Ovis aries: one gene and its partners. The protein of the gene in region 1 interacts with the protein of each later gene in a pairwise test. Links are inferred from orthologs where the notes say so. Each region holds a gene or a part of one and is shown on either strand. Other genes may lie near its edges.

What was found.
Region 2: the proteins of LNX1 (region 1) and RAD51D interact in binary tests that used the Homo sapiens proteins (3 or more experiments, as listed by UniProt). The two-hybrid records come from large-scale screens. The link is inferred for Ovis aries from reciprocal best matches to the Homo sapiens genes LNX1 and RAD51D.
Region 3: the proteins of LNX1 (region 1) and ACAT2 interact in binary tests that used the Homo sapiens proteins (3 or more experiments, as listed by UniProt). The two-hybrid records come from large-scale screens. The link is inferred for Ovis aries from reciprocal best matches to the Homo sapiens genes LNX1 and ACAT2.
Region 4: the proteins of LNX1 (region 1) and RPIA interact in binary tests that used the Homo sapiens proteins (3 or more experiments, as listed by UniProt). The link is inferred for Ovis aries from reciprocal best matches to the Homo sapiens genes LNX1 and RPIA.
Region 5: the proteins of LNX1 (region 1) and NUDT14 interact in binary tests that used the Homo sapiens proteins (3 or more experiments, as listed by UniProt). The two-hybrid records come from large-scale screens. The link is inferred for Ovis aries from reciprocal best matches to the Homo sapiens genes LNX1 and NUDT14.
Region 6: the proteins of LNX1 (region 1) and NADK interact in binary tests that used the Homo sapiens proteins (3 or more experiments, as listed by UniProt). The link is inferred for Ovis aries from reciprocal best matches to the Homo sapiens genes LNX1 and NADK.
Region 7: the proteins of LNX1 (region 1) and melanoma-associated antigen B18 interact in binary tests that used the Homo sapiens proteins (3 or more experiments, as listed by UniProt). The link is inferred for Ovis aries from reciprocal best matches to the Homo sapiens genes LNX1 and MAGEB18.

Annotation. Positions count from the first base shown.
Region 1 is NC_056059.1:69,695,614-69,699,113, forward strand, and holds part of LNX1 (E3 ubiquitin-protein ligase LNX), read right to left. Parts: intron 3,381-3,500; coding exon 3,246-3,380; intron 1-3,245.
Region 2 is NC_056064.1:14,699,884-14,703,383, reverse strand, and holds part of RAD51D (DNA repair protein RAD51 homolog 4), read right to left. Parts: intron 1,305-3,500; coding exon 1,223-1,304; intron 971-1,222; coding exon 836-970; intron 345-835; coding exon 249-344; intron 1-248. UniProt on the Homo sapiens protein: Involved in the homologous recombination repair (HRR) pathway of double-stranded DNA breaks arising during DNA replication or induced by DNA-damaging agents. Bind to single-stranded DNA (ssDNA) and has DNA-dependent ATPase activity.
Region 3 is NC_056061.1:83,780,247-83,783,746, reverse strand, and holds part of ACAT2 (acetyl-CoA acetyltransferase, cytosolic), read right to left. Parts: intron 3,399-3,500; coding exon 3,217-3,398; intron 1,791-3,216; coding exon 1,673-1,790; intron 213-1,672; coding exon 69-212; intron 1-68. UniProt on the Homo sapiens protein: Involved in the biosynthetic pathway of cholesterol.
Region 4 is NC_056056.1:59,367,177-59,371,251, forward strand, and holds the start of RPIA (ribose-5-phosphate isomerase), read left to right. Parts: upstream 1-1,275; 5' UTR 1,276-1,307; coding exon 1,308-1,580; intron 1,581-4,075. UniProt on the Homo sapiens protein: Catalyzes the reversible conversion of ribose-5-phosphate to ribulose 5-phosphate and participates in the first step of the non-oxidative branch of the pentose phosphate pathway.
Region 5 is NC_056071.1:67,272,519-67,274,828, reverse strand, and holds part of NUDT14 (uridine diphosphate glucose pyrophosphatase NUDT14), read left to right. Parts: intron 1-56; coding exon 57-100; intron 101-577; coding exon 578-642; intron 643-820; coding exon 821-1,058; intron 1,059-2,310. UniProt on the Homo sapiens protein: Hydrolyzes UDP-glucose to glucose 1-phosphate and UMP and ADP-ribose to ribose 5-phosphate and AMP. The physiological substrate is probably UDP-glucose. Poor activity on other substrates such as ADP-glucose, CDP-glucose, GDP-glucose and GDP-mannose.
Region 6 is NC_056065.1:50,237,701-50,241,980, reverse strand, and holds the start of NADK (NAD kinase), read right to left. Parts: upstream 2,801-4,280; 5' UTR 2,616-2,800; intron 2,515-2,615; exon of another isoform or gene 2,046-2,514; intron 1-2,045.
Region 7 is NC_056080.1:24,366,237-24,369,261, reverse strand, and holds melanoma-associated antigen B18, read right to left. Parts: upstream 1,571-3,025; 5' UTR 1,524-1,570; coding exon 501-1,523; downstream 1-500. UniProt on the Homo sapiens protein: May enhance ubiquitin ligase activity of RING-type zinc finger-containing E3 ubiquitin-protein ligases. Proposed to act through recruitment and/or stabilization of the Ubl-conjugating enzyme (E2) at the E3:substrate complex.

The DNA of each region.
Region 1 (3,500 bases):
ACATTATCCCAAATGCCATTGGGTGACTCGGAACATTTACATTTCAAATAGAGAAGTAAAAAATGGAAAGAGGAATAGGGTGGAGACCACTGGAGAAATGTTAAGCATACAAAGTGAACTGCACCCAGAATTTTTCATGTGACTCATTTATTCCTGATACAGTGAGTCAGCATTTCATGAAACGCTTGTCACTCATGAAGATCAGGACCTTTTTCTAAGTTAAGAGTAACCACATTTAAATTAAATGGCCTCAGTTTAATTTATTCAGGTAATCACAGAAATCCACAAAGAAAAATAATGAACTTCATAGATACTGTGCTCTAAAAACTCACCAATATCTGGGTTTTCTCCAGCTGACAACTTTATTCTTACTTTAGCGTTCTAAATAATGTGCAGTTATGCCCTTTAATTTTATTACATAAAATATACACATTGCATAATACACATTGTATTAATAGAATACCTTCTAAAACAAGAGAATCGTGATTTTGATTCAACAGCACAAGACTGAAAACATCAAAGCCATATGCAACATTATCTTGAAAGCATTAAGAGTGAGTCAAGGAATATATATCAGTGAATATATATCAATATATATTTTTCTAAAAAGTTATTCTCTTTCCTGCTTGGGCAGTGACCAAGCAGATTAAGTCAGCATGTGCACTGCAAATCAATGTAACACCTGATCAAACCTCAAGGAGGTCTATGGTTCAAAACATAGCTGATAGTTCTATCTAAAGAAATAAAAATTTTTTAAATTTGACAAAAATAATCACGTCACAGAACAAAATGTAAGCGTGCTTCTGAAATAAGAACTTTTATTAGCTTTTGCATTTTCATAAAGGAGCTCTGAAAGAAAAAGTGGTGGAGGTGAGTACTGGGCAGGGCAGGGATAGGTGAGAAACTATGCTTTCCATCTTTTGAACTCGGTGAATATATTATGTATTCAGTAAACCAAATGGGCTATAGTCAAACTTCTGTAAATTTGATGGTTTTCATAATACAGAACTAATGCTTGCAGAATCAATTTTTAATGCTTCATTATGAAGCAAGATAAACCTAGGATCTTTGCGCATTTATTACCTCATGATTTCCTATGGTTTTAAATAACCCATGTCTCTTGTAATGGTTTTATTATATACAGTAATGCCATGTGAGTGTATCCCTAGCACTGAGCATAGCATTTAACACATTGATGACAATAAGTATACATCTGTTGAATAAATGGATGGATAAACTGCAAGTTGGCACACCTTGTTTTTGATAGTAATAGAATAATAATTAAATTGGAAATTAATAATTATAGCAAGGTATATGCTGCAATTAGTACTTCTAACATCGGGGGTGTGTTTATATAAACCTTAGAACTTTGAAGTGCCCTGTAGAGACTGGTTGTGTAGGTAAGCATTAGTTCTCCCCTACAGAGGTAACCATACTGTCAATCGTCCTTTAGCTTTTCAATTGCCTAAAAACTTCTCTATTTCACAAATCTTGGTTTCCCTTCTTTTGGTATTTCTTTGAATCATTAAGTGCCTGCTTTAAAAAAGCCATATTACTTCCTAAGCCAAAAAAACACTTGAGTAGGGTCATGAAAAACTAAATCATCAAATGTCTACATGTTTTAAATATACCACTGTGTGTATGGGGGGGGGGCACATTTCAGAAGGCAGATAGAACTATAAATTAAAATGAAAATAATTACAAGTTCCCACTAGGCCAGTCTGTTATGTATGTTTTCCAGAAACTGGACACATGACAGAAGGTTGCAGCAAAAATTTGATCAGATTACCCTATTTCCATGATTCATGATGGTTAGGTGGAAGGGATTATAAAGCCACAGTGCTGGTGGAAGCCACATTCTTAGTGGTTTAATGAACCAGAATATAATATGGTCTAGTTAACTCACACTAAAACTTTAAATAAATAATTGAGCTAATAAGCCAGTTTTCCATTAACAGATACCATTGGTTTAGTTTAAACACTAATGGTATTTATTATCAAAAAGACACCAGGTAGTCATTATCCATAAAAGGTTTTAGCAGGAGGTACTTGGTTTTTCTAGATTGCTTATTGTAAACAAACCTAAAATTTATGGATTTATGGCTGGCTGGCTGGCTGGCTGGAGGAAGGCGAGGTGCAGGCTATGTAGTTAACAGTATACAAAACAGATATTCCAAAATAAAAAATCTGCATACATTGCTCAAAAACTCCAACTTGTGAGTGATTCCAAACTGAAATACAGCCCGATATAGAATGTAGGCATTCCTAATATCTGTTGCAAGAAGAATGGGCTACCTATAAGAGTTTAGTGACAAGTGATTAATGAAACCAGGTCTCAGGAGAAATGACAGCTAGAAACTCATTGCCATCACGGTAGGATGCCAAGCCAAGGCATAGGACTAAGCAAGGTTTGTGTTACTTAGATACCCATCCAAATGGGGAGGGTACAGTACTTCCTCAAATAAAAGCCACACGCAAAAGTACACATTGGCCTGAGTCACCTCACTTAAAGATGCTACAAATTGCTGACCTGAAGGAGGCATTCTGCTTCATCCACAGTGTTTTAAAGTTTTTCTGGAATTGAAAACCATAAGGGCATACACTCTAATTTGTCCCAATCCCCACTACTCCCTAATGTTACCTGAACTTGAATGTTTTTATTATCTTCCTGGGTATTCTTGCAAAAAATAAACACACTAAAAATAGAAGGGGGAAACAACCCTGGTGGTCCAGTAGTTAACGCTCATGCTCCAAACCGCAGAGGGCGTGGGTTTGATCCCTGGTTGGGAAACTAAAATCCTGCCTGACTTGTGGTGCAGCAAAAAAAAAAAAAAGATAGCAGAGAATCATTCATTTTCAGGCAGGTTGGGTACTTCAAAAGCCAGAAACCAAGCCACCTTCCTCATTTCAACATAAATGGGAACCATCCTTAAACAAAACGCCTGTTTTAAAAATAAGACATCCATTTGGCTTAGACTAGAAATTAGGTCCCCATATGAGGTCTGGTTTTCACGATCCAGTTTCAAAACACTCCTGTACCTTTCCCTCTCCTCCTTGGACAGGAGACACCTGTTATCTCACCAGGTCGCGAAGATGGGATTTGGGGCTTTTGTTTTTTACAAGACAAGTCAAACAGTGTTTAAGTGATGAAGTCCAGAGATGACACTTAGAAATGTTCAAGTGTGTAGGATTCCCAAGAAAGAGCTCCCTGCAGGACCAGTGGACATATCCCGGCTGGGCCTCACCTTGGGAGTGTTGCTCCTGGCCCCTGGCCCTGGGGACTGGCTGCCGTTGCTGTTCCAGCTGGCTTCCTGAAAGATGTCAGGACTCTGCCGCCGAACCTGGCGGGACACGACGAGGTGAACACGCCTCTCACTGGCCTGCGTGATGAGACACAGGCGTTAGCCACTTGGAGCTTCCATCCTAAACATCCAGCACCGATGACTTACCGAGATGTGAGTCTGGTTTTACTTTTCTTTTTAACTTTTTGTGTTGGGGTA
Region 2 (3,500 bases), on another chromosome or scaffold:
GGACCTAGTTGGAATGCAGAGATGAACAGGACCTGATCCTTGCACTCAAGGAAGAGGCTTAGTCTTTAGTGGGGAAGATGGGCTTGTGAACGAGGAGGCAAAGAATTGAGGAAAGAGAGAACTAAGTATCCAGAAATCCCATCCTGGGAATGGCAGGCACAGCTAGAGTCACCGGATTGCACACCTGCCCACACGCAGACAGCATAGGTGGGCTGCGGGGAGCAGGGAAGGCAGAAGGTCAGGCTCACCTGCTGGGACACAGCGCCTCGCAGGTCCTGCAGCGCGCCCAGCATCTGGAAGATGTCAAATGCACGTACCACCTGGATCCTCTGGAGAGCTCCTGCCTGAGGGGGCAGGAGAGAGAAGGGAGGGCCTTGGAGAAGAAGAGCCGGGGGTCACGCACGATGAAGAGGGATTTTGAGGTTGAGAGAGAAGAGGCGCTTAGACACAAGGACTCAGGTACAGATGGCAGTGGGCTTTGTCTGCTGGGCCAGTTCACAATATGCTGGCTGCCTGGGTGCTGAGCTGCAGAGCCAAGTCAGAGCTCCATGGGAAGGAGTGGCAGTGATCTGTGTGTCTGCCCTGGGCAAGATATGGGGGAGAAACACAGAGGGGATGCCAGGGGTTGGGTTTCTAGGAAGGATCCTTGTGGGTAGCATCCAACTGGGATGATGTCATAAAGGGGAGGCTTTACAATACAGGAAGCATTAGTGGAACAGCAAGTTTCAAAGCCAGAAATGACTAGTCACCCAAATGGTCCAAATTCTTGCCGTGTTAGATAATGGGGTCTTATGGTGTCAGAACCTCCAAGAAACCCAACCTTCCTGCCCTTTACCTGCTCCTCCTCGTCCAGGGTCCTGGCCTGAAGCAGCTGGAGGATGCGGGAGGCTGTGAGCCCTCCGTTGGAATCAATGTAGAGGACGTTCTGCTGCAGGCCATGGGCCACGTTTGCTGCCACACAAAGACATACCTGAGTAGAGACGGGCCATTGGGTGAACCTGAGCCCTCAAGAAGGGCCCAGAACAGGAGCCCCCCACCAAATCTCATCCAGATCCCAGAGGCGCGAATGGGCCCTGAGACGCGAGTTCAAGTCCCACTCCTCACCACCCGTCTTCTCTCTTCCAAGCTCTGAAATCACAGCATCCTGGCAGAAGCTTCCCCAGAGATCCAGGACTGTGCATCCACCTCCCTCAACCCTCCTGGCTGCTGGCTGCAGCTGTACCTGGGTTTTGCCGCTACCCGGGGCGCCTACAATTTCAGTCACTTCTCCAGTGTAGAGACCAGCATCTAGCAGTTTGTCCAGGCTGATGGCAGAAGAGGAGGGAAGAGCATCAACGGAAGGGACTGGACGGGTGGGAGGAGAGGAGGGGAGGAGGAACAGCAAGACATTCCTTCCAAGCATTGTTCTGTCCAGAGACGCTCTGACATCTCTGGCCAGGAGACTCCTCCTTGTGGAGTCTCCTTTGGGGAAAGCCAGCACGGCCGAGTGTTCCCCCTCGGGCCCCTCATCCTTTCACTCTCGCCTTAAAGATCACCTCTGGGTAATCACTTCTCTCCGGAGGTCTCTTTGCTGCCCCATTCAATGGTTCTCCTCTCAATCTCCATCACAGCCCCTTCTGGGTTTCCTTGATAGCACTGCCCATAATTTGTCATGTTTTAAACTGAGATAATTATAGATTCACAGGAAGTTGAAAAAAAAAAAACAAAACAAAACCATGTCGTGAGGTCCCGTGTACCCTTCAGCTGGTTTTCACCAACGGTAGCATCTTTTACTCTGAGATGTTTTGTACCACAGCTTAGTGCAACAGCAAAAAACAGCACTGGTGCAGTCCAGAGAGCTGCAGCTCAGTCCTTCCACGTGCGTCCGTGCGCGCAGTTCTCCGCCGTTTCACCCCACATGTGGGTTTATGGAACCACTGCAACCGAGGCAGAGCATTCCCATCTCGGCAGGGCTCCCTGTGCCACCCTTCTATAACCACACTCCCCCCTAAATCCCTAGCCAGCCCCTGGCAACTGCTTAATCTGTTCTCCATTATTATCATGTTATTTCAAGAATGTTGACTTCCCTGGCGGTCCAGTGGTTGAGACTCTGCGCTCCCAGTGCAGGGGGCACAGGTTCAATACCTGGTCAGGGAACTAAGATCTCACATGGCGTGGCCAAAAAACAAAGAATTTCTAAAGGGACCCAAGCATGAATATTTCTTAAGCTTCCCAAATAATTCTAATGAGCAGCCTGGGCTAAACCACAGGTCTGGACTCTACAATCAAGAATCAATTGCATTCCTGGCCATGAGGATCTCCATAAGGAATTCCCAAATCCACCTCGACATGGACAGACCCCCCTCCCTGCCCCCCTGCCACCTGCCTTGTGGAACAGAAGTACAACTGAGCCTAACACCGTTTTGAACACAAGTGCTGTCTGGAATTTATCCTCCACCTTCCCCCCAAACTGGCTTTCGTTTATTCTTTCAGTCACTCATTCAAACATCGCCTGAGTGTCTCACATTTCCTAAAGGCCTTTTTCTAAACCAAGCCGGAGGCAGAGATGAACAAGACACAGCTCTGGCCTTCGAGGAACCACCCTTCTTCCCCGGTCAATACAGCTACTTCCGAGGCTTGCTGCCTGCTCTCCCACTTGTAAAGATGCCCCCAGCACTACAGGCCGTGAGAAGACCTAGAGCAGAGGGACTTTCCTGGTGGCCCAGTGGTTAAGACTCCTTGCTTCCAAGGCAGGAGGCTCAGGTTCAATTCTTGGTTGGGGAACTACGATCCCACATGCTAAGTGGTATGACCAAAAAAAAAAAAAAAACAGAGAAACCTGCTTCATTTGATTAACCAGCATTTCGTGAGCTGTTGACTACAGAACTCCCCTCCCCTCCCCTCCTGTGTCAGTTAATACCCATCAGTGTCCAAAGACCACTATGACAAAGACTAGAAGCCTAGGGGTCATCTTTGATTCGCCACTTTCGCATCTCCCCAGCAGGAAGGCTCACAGCATTTCTTCAATATGCCTCCTGCTGTCTCCCGCCCCAGATCCACTCACAACACCCTCCCCTGCTGTATCCTCCTGGGCCTCTCCTGCCAGCCTCCCCTGCCCCATCCACCCCGCCCACCTCTAACTGTAACTCCACTTTCACAACACAGCCTCCTGCCCGGAGGCAGCAACAGGGCAGATGCCTTAGAGCTGAGTTCTTAGGCTTAACAGCGTGACGGGTGTGACCTCAAGGGCCTGGTCCGCCACTTACCCACTGCAGGATCTTTTTTTTTTTTTCCCTTGGGCTGTGCCACCCCACTTGTGGGATCTTAGTTTCCGAACCAGGGGTCAAACTGTAGTGGAAGCACAGGAGTCCTAACCGCTGAACCACCTGGGAAATCCCTAGCTGGGGGATCTTGAGCAAGTCTCTTAACCTGAGTCCCAGTTTCCTTATCTACAGGATGATGGCTTTCATTTCTTTTTTAAGATTTTTTTTGATGTGAATGAAGCATTTTTTAAGTTGCTA
Region 3 (3,500 bases), on another chromosome or scaffold:
TAGACTAGTAATGACTGCCTTATAGACAGCCCTGTTGACCTTTAAACCTTTACAACTGACACACCCACCTTTTTTAGAAGATACAAAAACTGGTACGATCTCTTTGTCAAAATGACCCGCCTTCTGTGCATTCTCTGTCCTGTTTTGGGACAGAACTGCAACCTTGTCCTGGTCTTCTCGACTCACTTGCCATTGTTTGGCCACATTTTCAGCTGTGAAAGAAAAAAAACAAAACCCAAACATTTTCAGATGGCTTCTGGAGGTGGCTCAAGCGCTGATGGCCAACACCGGCGGGCCCGCTGGCGGGCTGAGACAGTCGTCTGTGGCACTCCTGCCTCCCACCGGGTGTGGAAAGGTTGCAAGGATTCTTAAGGAGCCGTTTTCTTTCTTTGCTGCCTTCCTTCTCTTTTCCCTTCTACAAAATACCTCTCAGAAATTTCCTTTCCGCTGCTTCACCAATTGTTCCTATTTTTTGGCCCCATCTGCTTTCTCATTCGGTTTCTGAACCATTTTTGGAAAGTTGTAGGTATCATGCCCCTTTATCTCTAAATTTTAATGTCAGTGTATATTTCCCACAAGAAAGGCCAGCTTCTTACATAACCACAGCTACCAAAATCAGGAAATGCAACACTGATAAAATACTGTTATCTCCACGCTCAGTCAACAGTCAAGGTCCACCTGTTGTCCCAGGGATGCCCTTTATAGCTAATTTGTTTCTTCAGTATCATCCAATCCATGACCACACACTGCATTTCACTGTCAATCTCTTCAGTTTTTATTTGCAACTAGTCCTTAGCCTAGGTCCATGTTTCTTAACCTTGGTATTTTTGAAGGGTAGGGGCCAGTTCCTTTGTCAGATGTCACCAATCCTTCTAATGCATTAGAATATAATGTGGGAAAGCATCGGATGTTGATGATGATAATTTTTCACTGAATCTTATCAGGATACATGTTGGAGTTTATCTCAGGTTATGTCAACTTTGCTCACTTAATTAAAGTGATATCCACCATATTTGTACACTGTAAAGTATGTGCAGTGTATTAAGTGTGCAGTAGCACTATATCTAAAAAAACAATGTACATACCTTAATTTAAAAATACCTTATTGCGAAAAACATGCTAACCATCATCTGAGCCTCGGAGCAAGCTACAGTGGTAATACCAAAGATCAAAGCTCCCTCTGTTTCTTGCTTTGTCGAAATTGTTTTGGCTTATTCTAGGTCAAATGGTTATTCAGATCACCATAATGAATACAATAATGAAAAGGCAGTTGAAATACTGCAAGCCTTGTGGGTGGATGAAAACCTGATTGTGTAGTGTAACGAATAGAGTTTGATACCAGAAGTACTAGCTTATCTCTGATCTTGCCTTTGCCACAAAAGCCACTATTTGTGAGCCCTGTTTCTTCATATGATGAAATGAGAGATTGACCCAGAGGAACTCTGAGGTTCCTCCCACCACCAACTTCCCTGACAATCAAGGAGTCACAAAGGAGAAAGGGAATATTTCCTCAACTTGGCTTCATCAAATGGGAACTATCCCCGTCATCACGGATACAAAGTGATGAGGACTCGGTCCCTACCCTTAAAGAGGAAAAGCACCTGCAAAACCAGCTGTTACAGACCTTCTAACCTTTTCACAGTCGGTATGTTCTCAGCCATGTCCGCCTCACCTGTAATGCCCATGTGGTAATTGTGGAATGCGTCAGTGAGCCCGTCGCAGAGTATACTGTCAGCCAGGGGCTTTTCCCCAACCTTGACTCCCGTCCTCAAGTGAACCAAATGAGGAGCCTGGAAACAAGAAATACAGATGGACCAGGCGTGGTTGTAACTAGTCCTCTGCTTAGGCTCCCACTCAAAACCATCCAGTGGTTCCTCAGTCTTCACTGAGTCCCCCTTGTGACCCTTCTCCTCCATCCCAGCTCATCTTCCTCATCACCAGGGCCCAGGGCCTGAAGACCCCTGGAATTAATAGGCTACTGCACCCTACCTGCCCTTGGAAACCCACCTGTAACTCTTCCCTATGCATTTGCAGCTTTCCATCAAATAATCCTGTGAATTTTGTCCTATTTCTTTAAAAAGCTCATTTATTCTTTCCAAAGCAACCAGCAATCTGTTACACAAAGGGCTCATCAATGGGCCTAAGTGATGCTAACAATGTGTTCCTTATTTTAATGGGACGTACAATGCCTAGAGTGAGAATAATCAGGTTGCCTGATTAACCGATGGGAAGAGATTTCTCAGTGGAGGGATTTCCTCTTGAAAGTGAAAGTCGCTCAGTCGTGTCTGACTCTTTGCAACCTCATGGACTATACAGTCCATGGAATTCTCTAGGCTAGAATACTGGAGTGGGTAGCCTATCCCTTCTCCAGGGAATCTTCCCAACCTAGGAATCAAACCGGGGTCTCTTGCACTGCAGGGGGATTCTTTGCCAACTGAGCTATCAGGGAAGCCCCCTCTCAACTCCTCCCAACTCAACAGCAGCTAGAAAGGAAAGACTGAAGAGCCTAAAGATCTCTATTTTGAATCCTGGCTCTGGGCCTCGGTTTCCCTACCTGTAAATTGGGAATAAAACCCAAACCCAGGGCTGTTATGACTGCCTGTGTGAAAGCACCCCATCAAGCACCACACAGGTGGTGCTACGGCCCCACTGGAATCTCTGTGCTTGCTACTCTCGCCCTGTCTCCTCCCAAGCCTGAGCAAGGAGGGCTGAACCGGCCTCTGCCCAGGGGTTCCCCAGGGGAGACCTTGAATTGCTGCAGGAAGCAGGGGTTACACGTTTTCCTTTTTCCCTACTGTGTCAGCGGGAGGGACGGAACTTGACGAAGCCAATCCCACCTGGCAAGCCCACTGGAGATGGGCACCGCTCAGTGGGTCCTCTCTTCCACACTGTGTACCTACAAAAGGTCGACAGGCTGTGGTCCCCAGGAATACCCTTTGTCCCGTGCAGGAAGGTGAGTGCAACATCTGGTTTTTGACTTTTCCTCACAATGAGAAAGAAATGTAAAACTAAGGACATCACACTGGTTGACCGGCTTTGTCTTTAACTTGAACTTCCCAATCACTGTGAATAATTAACATGCATGCAGGGATCAAGGTTCGATCCAAATTTTCCTTGTTCCCTGTTTGGTTCCAGCTCTCAGGTTGACCATCAGTCAACCCTGCTGTGGCAATGGACAGGAGTGGTCAGGGAGCGCCATCTCTTCAGAGGCCTTACCTTGCTCATATTTTCCATGCCTCCTGCAACAACAATGCTCGAGTCTCCTATCCTTATCGACTGGGCTGCGAGGCACACGGCTTTCAGGCCTGACCCGCAGATCATTTGGCAGCTCCACGCAGGAACAGAGTAGGGGATTCCTGCACCCACACTGGCCTGTCGAACAGGGTTCTGCCCACAGCCTGGAAGAAGAATCAGAGGCCTCTCAGCAGCCAAAGAGAAAGATAGCATGTTGGGATGAAAGTGCATGCAAAGTTCAAGAGGCTGCCAACTGCGTCTCCCGC
Region 4 (4,075 bases), on another chromosome or scaffold:
CAAAGATCTGTATAGCCAAAGCTATGGTTTTTCCAGTAGTCACATATTCATGTGAGAGTTGGACCATAAAGAAGGCTGAGTGTGCAAGAATTGATGCTTTTGAACTATGGTGCTGGAGAAGACTCTTGAGAGTCCCTTGGACAGCAAGGAGATCAAACCAGTCCGTCCCAAAGGAAACCAACCCTGAATATTCATTGGCAGGACTGATGCTGAAGCTGAAGCTCCAGTACTTTGGACACCTGAATGTTAAGAGCCAACTCATTGGAAATGACCCTGATGCTCGGAAAGATTGAGGGCAGGAGGAGGAGGGGGACAGAGGAGGAGATGACTGGATGGCATCACTGACTGGACGGACATGAGTTTGAGCAAACTCTGGGAGATGGTGAAGAATAGGAAATCCTGGCAGGCTGCAGTTCATGGGGTCGCAGAGCCCTGACGTGGTTGAGCTACTTGAACACCAACGCTTGACTACATTTCCAAGACCAAAAAGACATGTATGTACTGGCCGCCTCCCTTATCTTTTTGGAATAGTTCCACAGAGGTGAAATGTTATTTCCCCAGCTATAGTCCCAAGTAAGCTGCCAGAATAAAACTGAAACTCACTTTACTTACATTGTACTTTTTTTCAGTTGACAAGCACAGCAAGACACTTTATAGGTAGGGAAGAAAAGAGAGTTGTTAGTTCAACGACAGTCCTTTTTGAGTCAATAATTTCTATAGGTCACACATAGGCGTCGAGCCAAGCTCCATCTGGAGGGAACCGCGGCATCCAATGCTGCGCAGGGCAGAACAAAACCTAAGGCTGGGGCTTCTAAATCTGTAGCCCTGCTCCTGTGGAAGGAGGTCTAAATGTGGACTAAAGCGTGAGCCGCTGTCCGCAGGTGCGCTTCCCCGGGGAGTCCGTCTAGAGAAGTCACTCCCAAAAGGACATTTCCATAAAAGCGACTGCCCTGAGGCCTCGTACACCGCCACGTTCTTACGGCTAGAAAATCCAACAGGATTAGATCCAAAACGTCCATCTCAGACACGGGGGCAAATAAAAAATACTCTAGCCTTGATCCATCCGGGGATGCTTGCTCTGTACGAGCCGTCACAACAAAGTCGTCTTTGATTTGCGCACCCGGTCGCGGAGCACTGTGGGGCTGGTAGTCCAGGCTGGGGCGCGGCTTCCGGTCACTGAAGACCTAGAACTACATTTCCCAGAAAGTACCGCGCCTCAGCGGAAGCGGACCTTGTACGTGGGCTTCAAGACTTCCGGCGGAGCCGGGGGGCGGGACCCGTGGCGGAGGCTGGAGCGAGGCGGAGGGATGCAGCGCCCCGGGCCCTTCAGCACCCTCTACGGGCGGGTCCTGGCCCCGCTGCCCGGGCGGGCCGGGGGCGCGGCCTCTGGCGGAGGCGGGAACAGCTGGAGCGTTCCGGGTTCCCACGTGCAGTTGTCGGGACGCTCGCAGTTCGGCGCTGGCAGCACCAGTACCGGCGGCAGGGAGACTAACACCGTCTGTCCGGGCCCGTCCGCGATGTCAAAGGCCGAGGAGGCCAAGAAGCTGGCTGGCCGCGCGGCCGTGGAGAACCACGTGAAGGTGAGCAATTCAGGGCTTGGGCGCCCGTGCTGGGCGGTATGGGCTCTTGCTGTGGGTTCTGAGCGCTGCCAGGTGCGCCAAGTTCCTGGCAGAGCGGGGGCTGCGTGAGAGGGGAGAGAGTACGCACTTGACCTGCCTTGAGACCTGCTCCTTCAAGGCCTTTGAAATATGGAATTGGTTGGGGCCGAGTACCCTAAAGTTCAGCTGTCTAACGACTGCTTGTCAGGCCAGATAACAGTTTGCCAAGTGGAGCGTGGTGGTGTGTCTGATGTTCGGAGTGGGGTTAGGAGGGACTTAGCGCCTGGCTTCCTTATCAACAGATAAAAGACTGGGACTGCCGAGAAGTGTTCACCTCGCTTCACTGCCCAGGGAAGTCGGTGGGGAGCTGATTTGAAAAGTGTTTTGAAATTTAACTCCAGGGAAGTGCTTAGCTGGGCGCGCACCGGCTCTTGAATGTACTTGCCGGAGGAAAGCGGAGAAGGAGCCAAAGACTTTAAACCTCCTCCTTTTGGCAGGGCTCGGGTGGACACTTGAAGTCTGGAGATCCTCTTTAAGGTCGGGATGTGGAGATGTTTAGCTGTTATTGTGAGGTCGTAATGTAATGTCAGTGAGGTCGTGACCCCACTTGTTGGCTAAGTGGCGGGTGTGGTCCTCTTGGTGGAGTCTTTTGGATTTGCTGTCAACAATCATGTTAATTGTAAGAATTTTGGGAGCTGGGAGCCAAGTGGAGTATCTCTGCCCTTAGGTGGAGTTTCCTGGGTTTCATTGGCTTTTAGTGTTTTCTGCTTTCTGGAAAGTGGTATCAGATTCTCTTTTCTCAAATAATGGTTCTTTATTCTTTACATTTGGTAATGCTTTCGTGTACGAAGTTATTTTGCTGGATAGATGTTAGATCCTCCTACAGCCTGGCCAAGTGGGAGGGCCGCGTGGTAACCTGTGGCTCAGCGTGTTCTGTAGGAGGAATGACCAAGTATCCTCCCAGACCCAAACCCAGTGACTCCTGTTCCAGTGCCCTTCCCCCAGTTACATAGCTGCCCTGTTCTGGTGTAATAGTCTGGTTAGCAATAGGAATTTCTATGGGACACAGAGATAATGTGGAATGTGTCATCTGGCTCTCCTTTTGGGATTTAGTGTCTCAGCTGCAACATTGGGACAATCGGCTGAAATTTTAAATGCCTCTAGAAAGTGAATGGTAATGGGCAAATGAAATCTATACAAATAGAAAAGACCTGTATGTTAGATTTCCTATTATCCTATTACTATTATGTCTTCCTGACCATTGTGGTTTTTTTTTTAAATTACGTATTTGGTTAAATAAAAATTTGCAAGCCCCCACCTCAGGCCAGAGCCCCCAGCCACCTGTTGCCTGAAGTTGCCAGACCATCCTGGGGAGATCTCCATTGACCTTTTGGCATTCACCCCAGTCTCAGTTAACACTATTTGCCTTTGCAGACTTCTTTCCTGAGATGTCAACACTATTTGAATGTTTTTTTAAAATAATCTTATTTATTTATTATTTATTTTTGGCTGTGCAGGGTCACTGCTCCAGCTGCTTTTCTAGTTGGTGGTGAGCCGGGGCTGCTCTCTAGTTGCAGTGTGCAGACTTCTCATTGCAGTGGGTTCTCTTGTTGCAGAGCATGGACTCTAGGGCACAGTTTTCAGTAGTTGCAGTTCCTAGGCTTTAGAGCACAGGCTCAATAGCTGGGACGGACAGGCTTAGTTGCTCTCCTGGGATCTTCCTGGACCAGAGATGGAGCCTGTGTCCCCTGCATTGGCAGGTGGATTCTTTATTAGTGAGCCGCCAGCGAAGTCCTGTATTTTGTACTTCTTACCACTGATTCATTCATTTCATTCCTGTGCGGGAACTTGTTGAGTGCCTGCTATGTGTCAGGTAGTTGGTGTGGAGGCCAGAGATGTGGCTAAAGGGAGGAGAAGATGCTGATCCTGGATATTTTGCAAACAAGATCACTGAATTCCAAGACAAGGTTATTGATCACAGTCCTGTACCTGATTGTCAAGGTTTAGCAGCCCTCTCCAGGGTTATCCTTTTTCTCCATCTAAGGCCAAATTTTCCTTTAGCACTTTGTGTCTTGAAATTGTTCCCTTGCTACCCAACTCAGATTTGACTGCTCACCCCTTGAAAGACAAGTTTGCTTTCAAAAGAAAACTTGGGAAAGAAAAAATTGCTTTGTTCTGGAGGCTGGCAACCTGGCGAGAAGGCCGACTTCTAGAACCTACTTTACTAAGGTGAAAGGGGACGTTAATTGCAGTTAATCATTTAGGAAGGGGGTCAGAGTCTTATCTTCCACTGTGTGTAGACCTTCTGATTGGCTGATGGTGAGGTAACTGTGTGGTGGTTAGCAGCTTTCTACTTGATTGGGGCCTTAGTTCCTGTGGAAGAACTCAGAGACTGTTGTCATGTATATTCCTTGAGGAGGAACCAGGCCCTTGCCTCATGGCTTTGTTTCTTGACTGCTCCTCCCTTGCTTCTGCAT
Region 5 (2,310 bases), on another chromosome or scaffold:
CCCGGGGCCTCCTCGCTCCCCGGGGCACTCCCCAACCGCTGCCCTCTCTCTTCCAGAATGGCACCCAGAAATCGTGGGACTTCATGAAGACTCACGATAGGTGAGGGCCTGGCCTGGCTGGCACCAGGGAAGCCCCAGGCTGGCAGGGACATGGGGCCCAGGGGCAACAGAGCCACAGCCCCCTCTGCGTTTCTGAGCGCCCCTGCTCTCCCTGCCTCTCACCGAGGGGCCCCGTGTGGACTGCCCAGGTGCCCTTGCCCTGGAGCGCCAGGAGCATGGGCTGGGGGCAGTGTGGCTTTAGCTGGCCTGCAGGGCCCACGTGTCCTGTCATTCCTGTGCCCTCAGCTATTGCTAACCCCAGCCTGTCCAGCTGCCCAGTGTGTCCTTCCCGCTCCTGCCACCCGGCACATACAGGAGGCCTGGGTCCTTACCTGGCAGTGTGACCCCGGCGAGCTCTGTCCTGGCCTGGGCCTCAGTCTGCCCATCTGAGCAAGGGACCCAAGCCTCCAGGGCTGTGGAGGAGGGTGGTGAGGTGAGGGCGTGCTTCTGTGCTGAGCTCAGTACCCCCCACCCCCAGCGTGACCATCCTCATGTTCAACTCTTCCCGGAGGAGCCTGGTGTTGGTGAAGCAGTTCCGGCCAGGTGAGGCTGGGGGCGGGGAGGCTGGCGGGCTCACGTTCAGTCCCCTGGGGTCCTGGCATCAGTGTGCAGACCTGGGAGGGGGCTCCGGGAGAAACAGCCCTGGCAAGGGGGTCTGGCCAGAGCAGGTCACGTGGAGCCGGCCGCCACAGGCTGTGACGCGGTTGCCTCCCCCCGCCAGCCGTGTACGCTGGCGAGGTGGAGCGTCTCTTCCCGGGGTCCCTGGCCGCTGCGGAGCAGGACAGGCCCCAGGCACTGCAGGTGGCGCTGCCTGGCTCGGCGGGGGTCACCTATGAGCTGTGTGCCGGCCTCTTGGACCAGCCCGGGCTCTCGCTGGAGGAGGTGGCTTGCAAGGAGGCCTGGGAGGAGTGCGGCTACCGCCTGGCACCCTCTGACCTGCGCCGGGTGACCTCGTACAAGTGAGTGGGGCTGGGAGGGTGGCCGGCAGTCGGACAGCCCTGGAGGCGGGCTGGGACGGGCCGCTGGGGGGCGGCGAGTGCTTCCTCCCCAGGGCTGTGCGAGCAGGGCGAGATCGCTGTGTTCTGCAGCTCGGGGTTGCGGGAAGCTTGGCCGGAGCCTGAAGCCCCTGGCCCCACTGTGCCCCCCCGGACCCCTGCGGCCCCCAGCCCCCACTGCAATTCCCTGCGGCCCTGCCGCACCCCCCCCCCCCACCCCCATGGCCGGCTCCAGTGGCAGCTGCTGCTCACAGATGCCCCTGCTTCCTGTGGGATTAGGCACCGGGGGCTGGGGGTGGGGGTGAGCACAGAGGGCTCTGACAGCGGCTCAGGAGCGAGGGGAGGGCCGAGTCCTGGGCCAGGGTTGGCGCTCTGCGCTCCCAGGGAGGGGTCGCAGTGTGGCCTGCCCCGACCAGAGTCCAGGTGCCTGCCGGGCACTCCAACCCCCCTGGGGACATCTTCCGGGACAGGATGTCAGGTGAAGCCCACCCTTGCCCTGGGAGTGTGGTGATGGGTCCCCAGCCCTGGTGGCGTCCCGAGCAGGATGAGGGTCTCCAGCTGAGCCCCAGCCCCCAGCAGCCTGCTCCAGAGGGGTGGGGCCTCAGCTCTGCCCCCCAGGCCGGCCCAGGGCCGCCGCAGCGACACCTGGGCCCTGCCGGGTGTCCCTGGCCTTCAGTCTTGGGAAGGAGGTGGGGCAGGGCCTGGCGCCCCCGCGCTCCAGGCGGGGCTTCGCACCCCAGGGTCATCCGGGCTGCATGAGGGCCCAGTCATCTGCAGGCATCCTCCATGTGCCTGGCCAGCGGCCACTTGGCCTCTGAGCCTTTGGGCCGGCGGTCCAGGGGCCCTGACTTCAGGTAGGGATTGACTCACTGGGCAGGCCAGCCCTGGGGGCAGGGTCCCCAGAAGGGGTGAATCTGGGTGGAGGCCTGGCAGGGGCGTTGCATGGAAAAGGCTCAGATCAAGGGGACGAGCAACCCAGCCTCGGCCATGATCCAGAGGGTACTGGGGAGCCACGGAGGGTACTGGGGAGCCACGGAGGGTTCTGGACAGCAGGTGGTCAGCTCAGACTGCATTTTAGGGACAAGGGGAGGCAGGCCTGGGAGGGGGAGAGGAGGCCAGCGAAGCTCCTCGCCCCGGGAGCTGGACGGCAGCCGGACAGCAGCCATACAAGCCAGAGCTAAGCTCGCACAGCCCCGTGGCTGGGCCCAAAGCTTCC
Region 6 (4,280 bases), on another chromosome or scaffold:
TGGTTAGGGCTGCAAGCTTTCACTGCTGAGGGCATAGGCTTGATCTCTGGTCAGGGAACTAAGGTCCAGCAAGCCACATGGCACGGCCATGAATAAATACACAAGTAAATAAAATGCAGGAGAAAGTTTTCGGGACCTAAAGTTAGACAGAATCTTTTTTGTACATGATATAAAAAGCACACTTCATAAAAGATAAAAAAAATTGGTAAACTGTGCTTCTTAGAAACTTGCTCTGTGGAAGACTCTGTAAAGAAAGCCGAAAAAAAAAAACCCACAAATCAAGCTATAGACAGAAAATATTTTCAAACTAGATATCCAACAGATCTGTACCTATAAAATAGCAAAAACTATCAAAATTCAACAGTAAAAAACAGACAGTCCAATTAGAAAGTGGACAAGAGCTGACTGGACAGACGAGATGTGCCCATGGTAAAGAAGCAGGTGTAAAGATGCTCCATGCCGATGGGCCAGAAGGAACTAAAACCACAGTGAGATGCCACTGCACACTGACCGGAACAGCCAGACAACTCAGCGCTGGAGGTCGCAGAGCAATGCCTGCTCACACACCACCCAGGACCAGAACATGGCCAGACACTCTGGAAAGGGCTGACGCCGTCTTATAAAAACTAAAAACGAAACAGACAGCCTAGCAAGTGCACCTGGCCATTTACCCCAGAGAAACACTGATGCTCACAGAAAAACCTGCACCTCAACATTCACAGCAGCTTTTAATTTGCAGCAGCCAAACACCAAAGACAGTCCAAGCGTCCCCACTGGTGAGCAGGCCCGGCCACCAGAGGGAGTGGACATGGACTCCGAAACCAGCTGGGTGACTCCAGGCTGACTGCAGGGCAAGGAAGGTCACATGATAAATGCTCCCATTTATATAACTTGCTTTTCATTCATTCTTTCTTTCTTTTGGGGGGCATACCACGTAGCATGTGAGATCTTAGTTCTCCACCAGGGCCCCGTGAAGTGGAAGCTCAGAGTCAAAAGCACTGGACCACCAGGGAAGTCCCTTACACGCCTTTCTTGACATGACAAAACACAAGCGCATGGAGAACAGATCACTGGTGGCCAGGGAGTGTGGGGAGCCTGGGGTGGGCTCCCTAGGTGACACCAGATCTGAGGCTGTGGTGGCAAGCCACACAGCTGTGCCCAGTGGTGGGAAAAGTGGTGAACCCAGCAAGGGGTGTGATGGAGGTGCCAGGGTTCACGTCACTGTGCCACGGATGTGGGGATAAGTGCAGGTGTTCCTCTGTATTGTTTTTCACAACTTTCTGGGAGTCTAGAATTATTTCAGTTCATTTTCAAAAGACATCCGCACTGGGAAGTTTTAACAGAAAAGTGTTGGAGCATAATGACCAAGAAGGAAAGGAGACACACCGTGATGCCCATAAGCAAAAGTCACACATAAATATAAACATAACATGATGCCCAGTGCGAGCTCTCAACATACACCTGCTGAAATACTGAACGAAAAAGCAAAGTTTACCCCTCCTTAACACTGACGCGATAAAAGGTACCTATTAAATCTCCCCTCTCCCGCCAGTAGGTGATGCTCAGTGCTGGCCAGGACCTGACAGAACTGGGCCCACAGAGGGGCAGAGGCTGCTGGGCGGAAGAACAGGATCAGAGACGCGAGGGGGGCTTCAGCGTGGCAGACCCGACCCCTGGGAGATCTCGCACGCGTTTGGGCTGAAGCAGGTATTTGCACACCTAGCTCTCTGCACAACAGCCCGCCTCCGGGCCACCTTCAGCCGGTTCCTCTTTTCGCCAACAGTCTACACACGCATTTGCCCGGCCCCACGCACTGAACTCTGGGCCGAGACAGCGGGTCGGAGACATCGCAAACGACGAGCCGGCAGCCCTGCCCGCAGGACTGGGCCCCTTGCACTGTCGGTCAGAGCCTGGGGGGTGGCCCGCAGCCCCCGCAGAGAACCGACCCCTCCAGTCATCCTGCGGGTGAACCCGGCCTCCCTTCCAGCCTGGCTCGGGGTGCCCCGTCCACCCCCGGGGCCGACTCGGGCCCATCCCACGCCCACCTGAATGCCAGGCCCAGGACACCTGGGCACCCGAGCCCCAGGGCCGTAGCCCGTCGGCCGCACCTGCGGGTCCCTGTCCTCGTCCTCAAGTTCCCGCAACGGGGCAAAGGTCACGGCCAGAGTCCAGGGCGCCGTCCAGCAGGAAATGCGTACGCCTGGGCTCAGGCCCGGTCCCCGGCGGGTGAGGAGGCTCCACGAGAACCAGAGCGCGGCGGACGCAGAGGCAGAGAGACAGGGGGCTCGGACCCGGCTCAGACGGGCCAGCCGCCGGCCTCAGGGGTCGTCGGCTGGGCGCTGGGTTCCGAGCACAGAGGAGCTTTCCGAGGATGAATAGCGCGACGTGGACCCCTAACTGACCGCCCCGCGTGAGGGCCGGGCCCGCCACCTCGTTCACAGTGCGGTCGCGGGGGTCGAGGTCCGGCCACCCGGACACCTGCCTCGGCGCCCGGGGCAGGGTGTGTGGCCAGTCAGTGGGCAGGGTCGTTCCCGCCCCGCCCCCAAGACCCTGACCCCACGACCCCGACCCCACGACCCCGGGCAGAAGGCCGGGCCGAGGGGATGCGCACTCACCGTTCGCTGCCCCGGGCGCCTGCGGGGCCGTCTCCTCGCCAGGCCGCACCCGCGCGTCCCGGCGCCCCGCCGCCGCTCGCCGTCACTAGCCGGCCCCTGGAACCGCGGCCGCCCCCTGCCCCATGGCCGCCTCCGGCCCCACGGCCACCCGGCCCGCCGAGCAGCAATACCGCCGCGCCGCCAGTGCGCAGGCGCGCTCCGCGCCCCGCGCATGCGCGCCCGGCGCCATACGCATGCGCTGCACGCTCGTCCCGCCCCTCGCAGGTGGGGAGGCCGGCTCTGAAGCTAGGCCCGGACAGAGGGCGGGACCGAGGCCTGGGTTGGAGGCACTGTGCGCAGAGTGCGCGCGGGCTAGGAGTTGCCCTCTGGGGAGGAGCGGGGGCCTCAGGGCTACGCTAGGTATCTACTCACCTCGCTGTGTCCTAAGCAGGTTCGCCGACCCGGGCCCCGCCCCTCTCGCATCCCTCCCGGTGGGCTGACTGCCCAGCTAGTGGTGACACTGCCTGCCGCGGACTCCTTAACCACTGCTTAGAAGGAAAGTACTTTGGCATAGAACTGCGCCCCTTGGCTGCCAGCACAGGACACAGGTGGAGGCAGCGGCCTGGTCCTGCCATCGTGGGCCTGGCCCACCCCAAGCAGCCCGGCGGCTCCTTGCACACCCCCTGGACCTGAGGGACTCTAGGCAAGGTCTCAAGCGGGGCCCCTCAAGGGTGACCTGCCAACATTGTGCTTCCTCATTGAAGGACCTAGAGAGGAGGGAGGAAGGGCCCAAGAGGGAACTGCTCTCCCGCAACCCCAAGTCCAGGCATGGTAGGTTACCCAAGTCTTGCTGAATTGACAGGTTATGCACCACCAGGGCAGTGAGTCAAGTGTCCCAGTGGTGTGCTGGGCTCCTGGATGTGATGATGCAGGGCCTCTGTAAATGAGCCTGGGTGAGCCACCTTTTTCCTCTCCCCCTAGGCCTCCTGGACAGAGCATCTGGTCCAGGCCGTGTGCAGACAACGAGGTCCTTTGCAGCAGCCTGGCCTTTAAATTTATGTATCTGCATACCTGCTGCTGACATCTTCTCTGGCTGGGAACGCCTGGCCCTGTATTCAGAGACCTCGAACACACCTGGGCATAGCAAAGGACACTTCTTACATGACCACAGGACCATGGGATCATCAAGGGTGAATGGCAAGCAGGGCAAAGATGGTGGGAATTTGGGGGGATTTCTCAAGCTCCAAACTTCCCCATATCTGGTTATTTTGAAAACCCAACCACTTCCTCAAAGTGACCTCCCCTCAGCCACACACCCACAGAAAAGCAAAGCCTTTTGAGTTGCATTTTTTGGATGATATTAGCACAGAGAAGGCAATGGCTACCCACTCTGGTACTCTTGCCTGGAAAATCCCATGGGTGGAGGAACCTGATAGGCTGCAGTCCATGGGGTTGCTAAGAGTCAGACACGACTGAGCGACCACTTTCACTCTTTACTTTCATGCATTGGAGAAGGACATGGCAACCCACTCCAGTGTTCTTGCCTGGAGAATCCCAGGGACAGAGGAGCCTGGTGGGCTGCTGTCTATGGGGTCGCACAGAGTCGGGCACGATTGAAGCGACTTAGCAGCAGCAGCAGCAGCGCAATAATACGAATGCTTGGCTAGGGCCCCCAAGAACCTTCTA
Region 7 (3,025 bases), on another chromosome or scaffold:
TTTTCACATGTCCAAAGAAGTGCCTTTTACCATGCCATGTTGTGTTGTTCTAGTTCAATATATACTAAAGGTTTCCCAATTTATGTTGCAAGATAATAAAACTCTTATATTAAATCTATTAGATTAAATCTAATATGTAACCAAAATCACTAAGTTTAGATTCTGAAATGTATATCTTCTTTAAAAGAAAACATTAAGGAAAGAAAGAAAGGAAGAGAGAGAAAGAGGAAAAAATAGAAAAAGAAAAGAGAAAAGATTAAACTCTTGTTTACTATATAGAACAGAAACACAAAGATGATATTATAATTTTCCCTGTGGGCCCACCCTGGTCATCCACAGCTTAGAATGTTACTGCTCTTTTTCAACCTAAAAAAGAAAAAAAAGAGAGAAAGGTAAAATTTTAAGTTAGCAATATATACCAGGAACTCCAGGATGGTATACACTTCTCCAGTCCCACCCTGGCCCTCCACTGTTAGAATGCTGACACACCTTTTTGAATTTCACTTAGCCTGGGAGGAGGTGCTGGCTCTGGCTCTAGAGCGGGCACTGGCCAGGGCAGCAGTACGAGCCCTGGCTGCAGCTCTGGCTCGGGCTCTCTCTTCCTCATCTCTCAAAGCCTCTTGATACCAGGATGGGAAGGCAGTGGGGACGGTATCGTGAACCTTGGCTAAAAACTCCAGGACTTTCATTTTGCTGGTTTCAGCATGGGCTCTTGGGCCCCACAGGAACTCATAGCGTGGAGGCTCACTGTTGGCCACCTGGCGGTACTCCAGGTACTTGAGCTGCACCAGATCTTCTGTGAGGACCTTCTTGGGATCCCCATAAATGAAGTGCTTCCTTTCAGCATATACACCCATCATATTCAGCACTTCCCAGATCGCCTCTTCAGGGGCGCAGTTGCCTCTCATGAAGATCACACCAAGCACAATCATCAGGATGCCGGTCTTTGGCATGTGCTCATATTCATTCAGAGCTGAATCATAGGAGAGGTCTAGTTTGTTGACAAGGGTGTAGCAGTGCCTGGTAGGATCCACTTCCTTCAAATCAACACCAAAAGCCAGCTCCATATGATCAGAAGCTCTCTTGAGGATCTCATTGTAATGACTCTTGTACTGTTTGATAACAAACTTCATCATCTCTGCCTTTCTAATTGGCTCTTTCTTTTGATACTTCTGCAGCAGGAACTGCACCAACAGAACCACTTTCTTATTTAAAATCTCACTGAGTGAGCTCTCAGCGCCCTTGGGGAAGCTTGTGCTTTCCGCCTTTGGGCTATTGATATTTTCAGCTGAGTTGGTGCCTGAACTAGCTGCAGTAGCACCAGTGGCTCCCTCAGGTGCCTCAGGAGTGCTGGGTGTCCCAGCAGCAGGCAGATTCTCAGGTCTGTCCCCAAAAACCGAAGAAGGGGACTTTCCTGCTGCTGCTGCCCCAGAGGCCTTAGCAACCTCTAGGCCCTGGGTCTCAGTACGGGCCTGGCGGCGTTTCTCACGGGCACGGAGCTTACTCTTCTGACCCCGAGGCATGATGACTGGTCAGGGACCGCAGACAGTTGCTCAAGCTGCCAAGGTTGATGAAGAGCTCACCCTAGAAGACAGAGGAAAAGAAGGCGTGTATAGCCTCCATAGGGAGATTCTTCTATCTTGGCTCCAAGAACAACTGCTTTTGTTGATCCCCTTAAGGGTACCGTTTTAAAAACCCACAAGACAGAGGCCAACGGAACTCTGTGGGCCGCCTCTGTTCATCAGGGGCTTGTCACCTTAATTCTAACCCAGAACACTGAACTTGACTCCTGACCAGTCCTTTTACGACTCCTTCTGCTGACTTGAGGCTTCCCCTTCAGACCAAGGCTTCCCATCCCACAAATTCTTCTGGTGGAAGTAGCGGGGTGTTGGGCCTAACGGTCACTTTGAGCCACTCGGGGGTTGACGGTCGGGATGGCGCAAGTTAAGATAGGGAGGGGCTCTACGGGACCACCCGAGTTCTGGGAGGAGTGTGTCCCTTTACTTCTAACAAAGATTGTCTACCTGGACACTTGTCCAATCCTGGAACTCGTCCCTCTGTAGATATACGAGGCCACACCTCTCCAACTGAAGCCTCGAGCTCCGCGGCTGCCGTGGCGGAAGGCAGGGAGAGCACTTCCGGTATCGCCCAACTAGGTTTGCCAGCATTGAGGGCGGGGGGGAATCGGTTCTGGAAGGGCCTCCCTGTCTGTCCTGGCAGGCGGAGAAATCGTGCAGAACTCACATGAGGGAGTCTTACCTGACTCCTGACAGGGCCTGGGACTTCTTCCTCTGCTGAGCTAAGTCAGCTGGCCACAGACCAGGGTTCTCATTTCCCTCGGAACCCCCAGCAGGAAGTAAGGGGTAGCCTGAGCCTAGCAACCATGTCTAGGGCCTACCAAGACTGATAGTGGGCGGGGGGGGGGGGGGGAACGGCTCTTTGTGGACTCTTATTTTGGAGTGGGCTCTCCCCTCAGTCCTCACTCAGTTTCTTACCTTGATGCTTTGTAAGTGAGCTACTAATCTGATAGGGTGCCAGACCAATCAAGCAAGGCATAAATCTATAAATAATTTAAGGGGAATTGACTACTGTACAATACTCTACTCATCATGAATAAACAGAAGATATGTTGCTCTATGTAAGATTTCTTTTACCTAAGTCTGTCAGTAATTTTTTTTACATTTACTTCCATAAACATCATGTGCATTGTTGTTCGTTTTCTTTTGACGTATCTTTTGGATAGCACTGCTGTTTTGAATGATGTATTTACCATTATATATCCTAGTTACTTATTTTGTGATAAGAGTCCTCCTATTGGGACTTACCTGGGGGTCCAGTGGATAAGACTCCAAGCTCCTAATGCAGGGGCATGGATTCAGTCCCTGTAGGGGGTCTAAGATCCACATGCTACGGGGTACAGCCTTTAAAAAAAAATCTTCCTGTTGATATAGTGATCTTCTGCACCAGCTTTTGAAGTTTCTTATAAATTTGAATAGTTGGCAGCCAGTTTCCTTGGGGTTTTTAA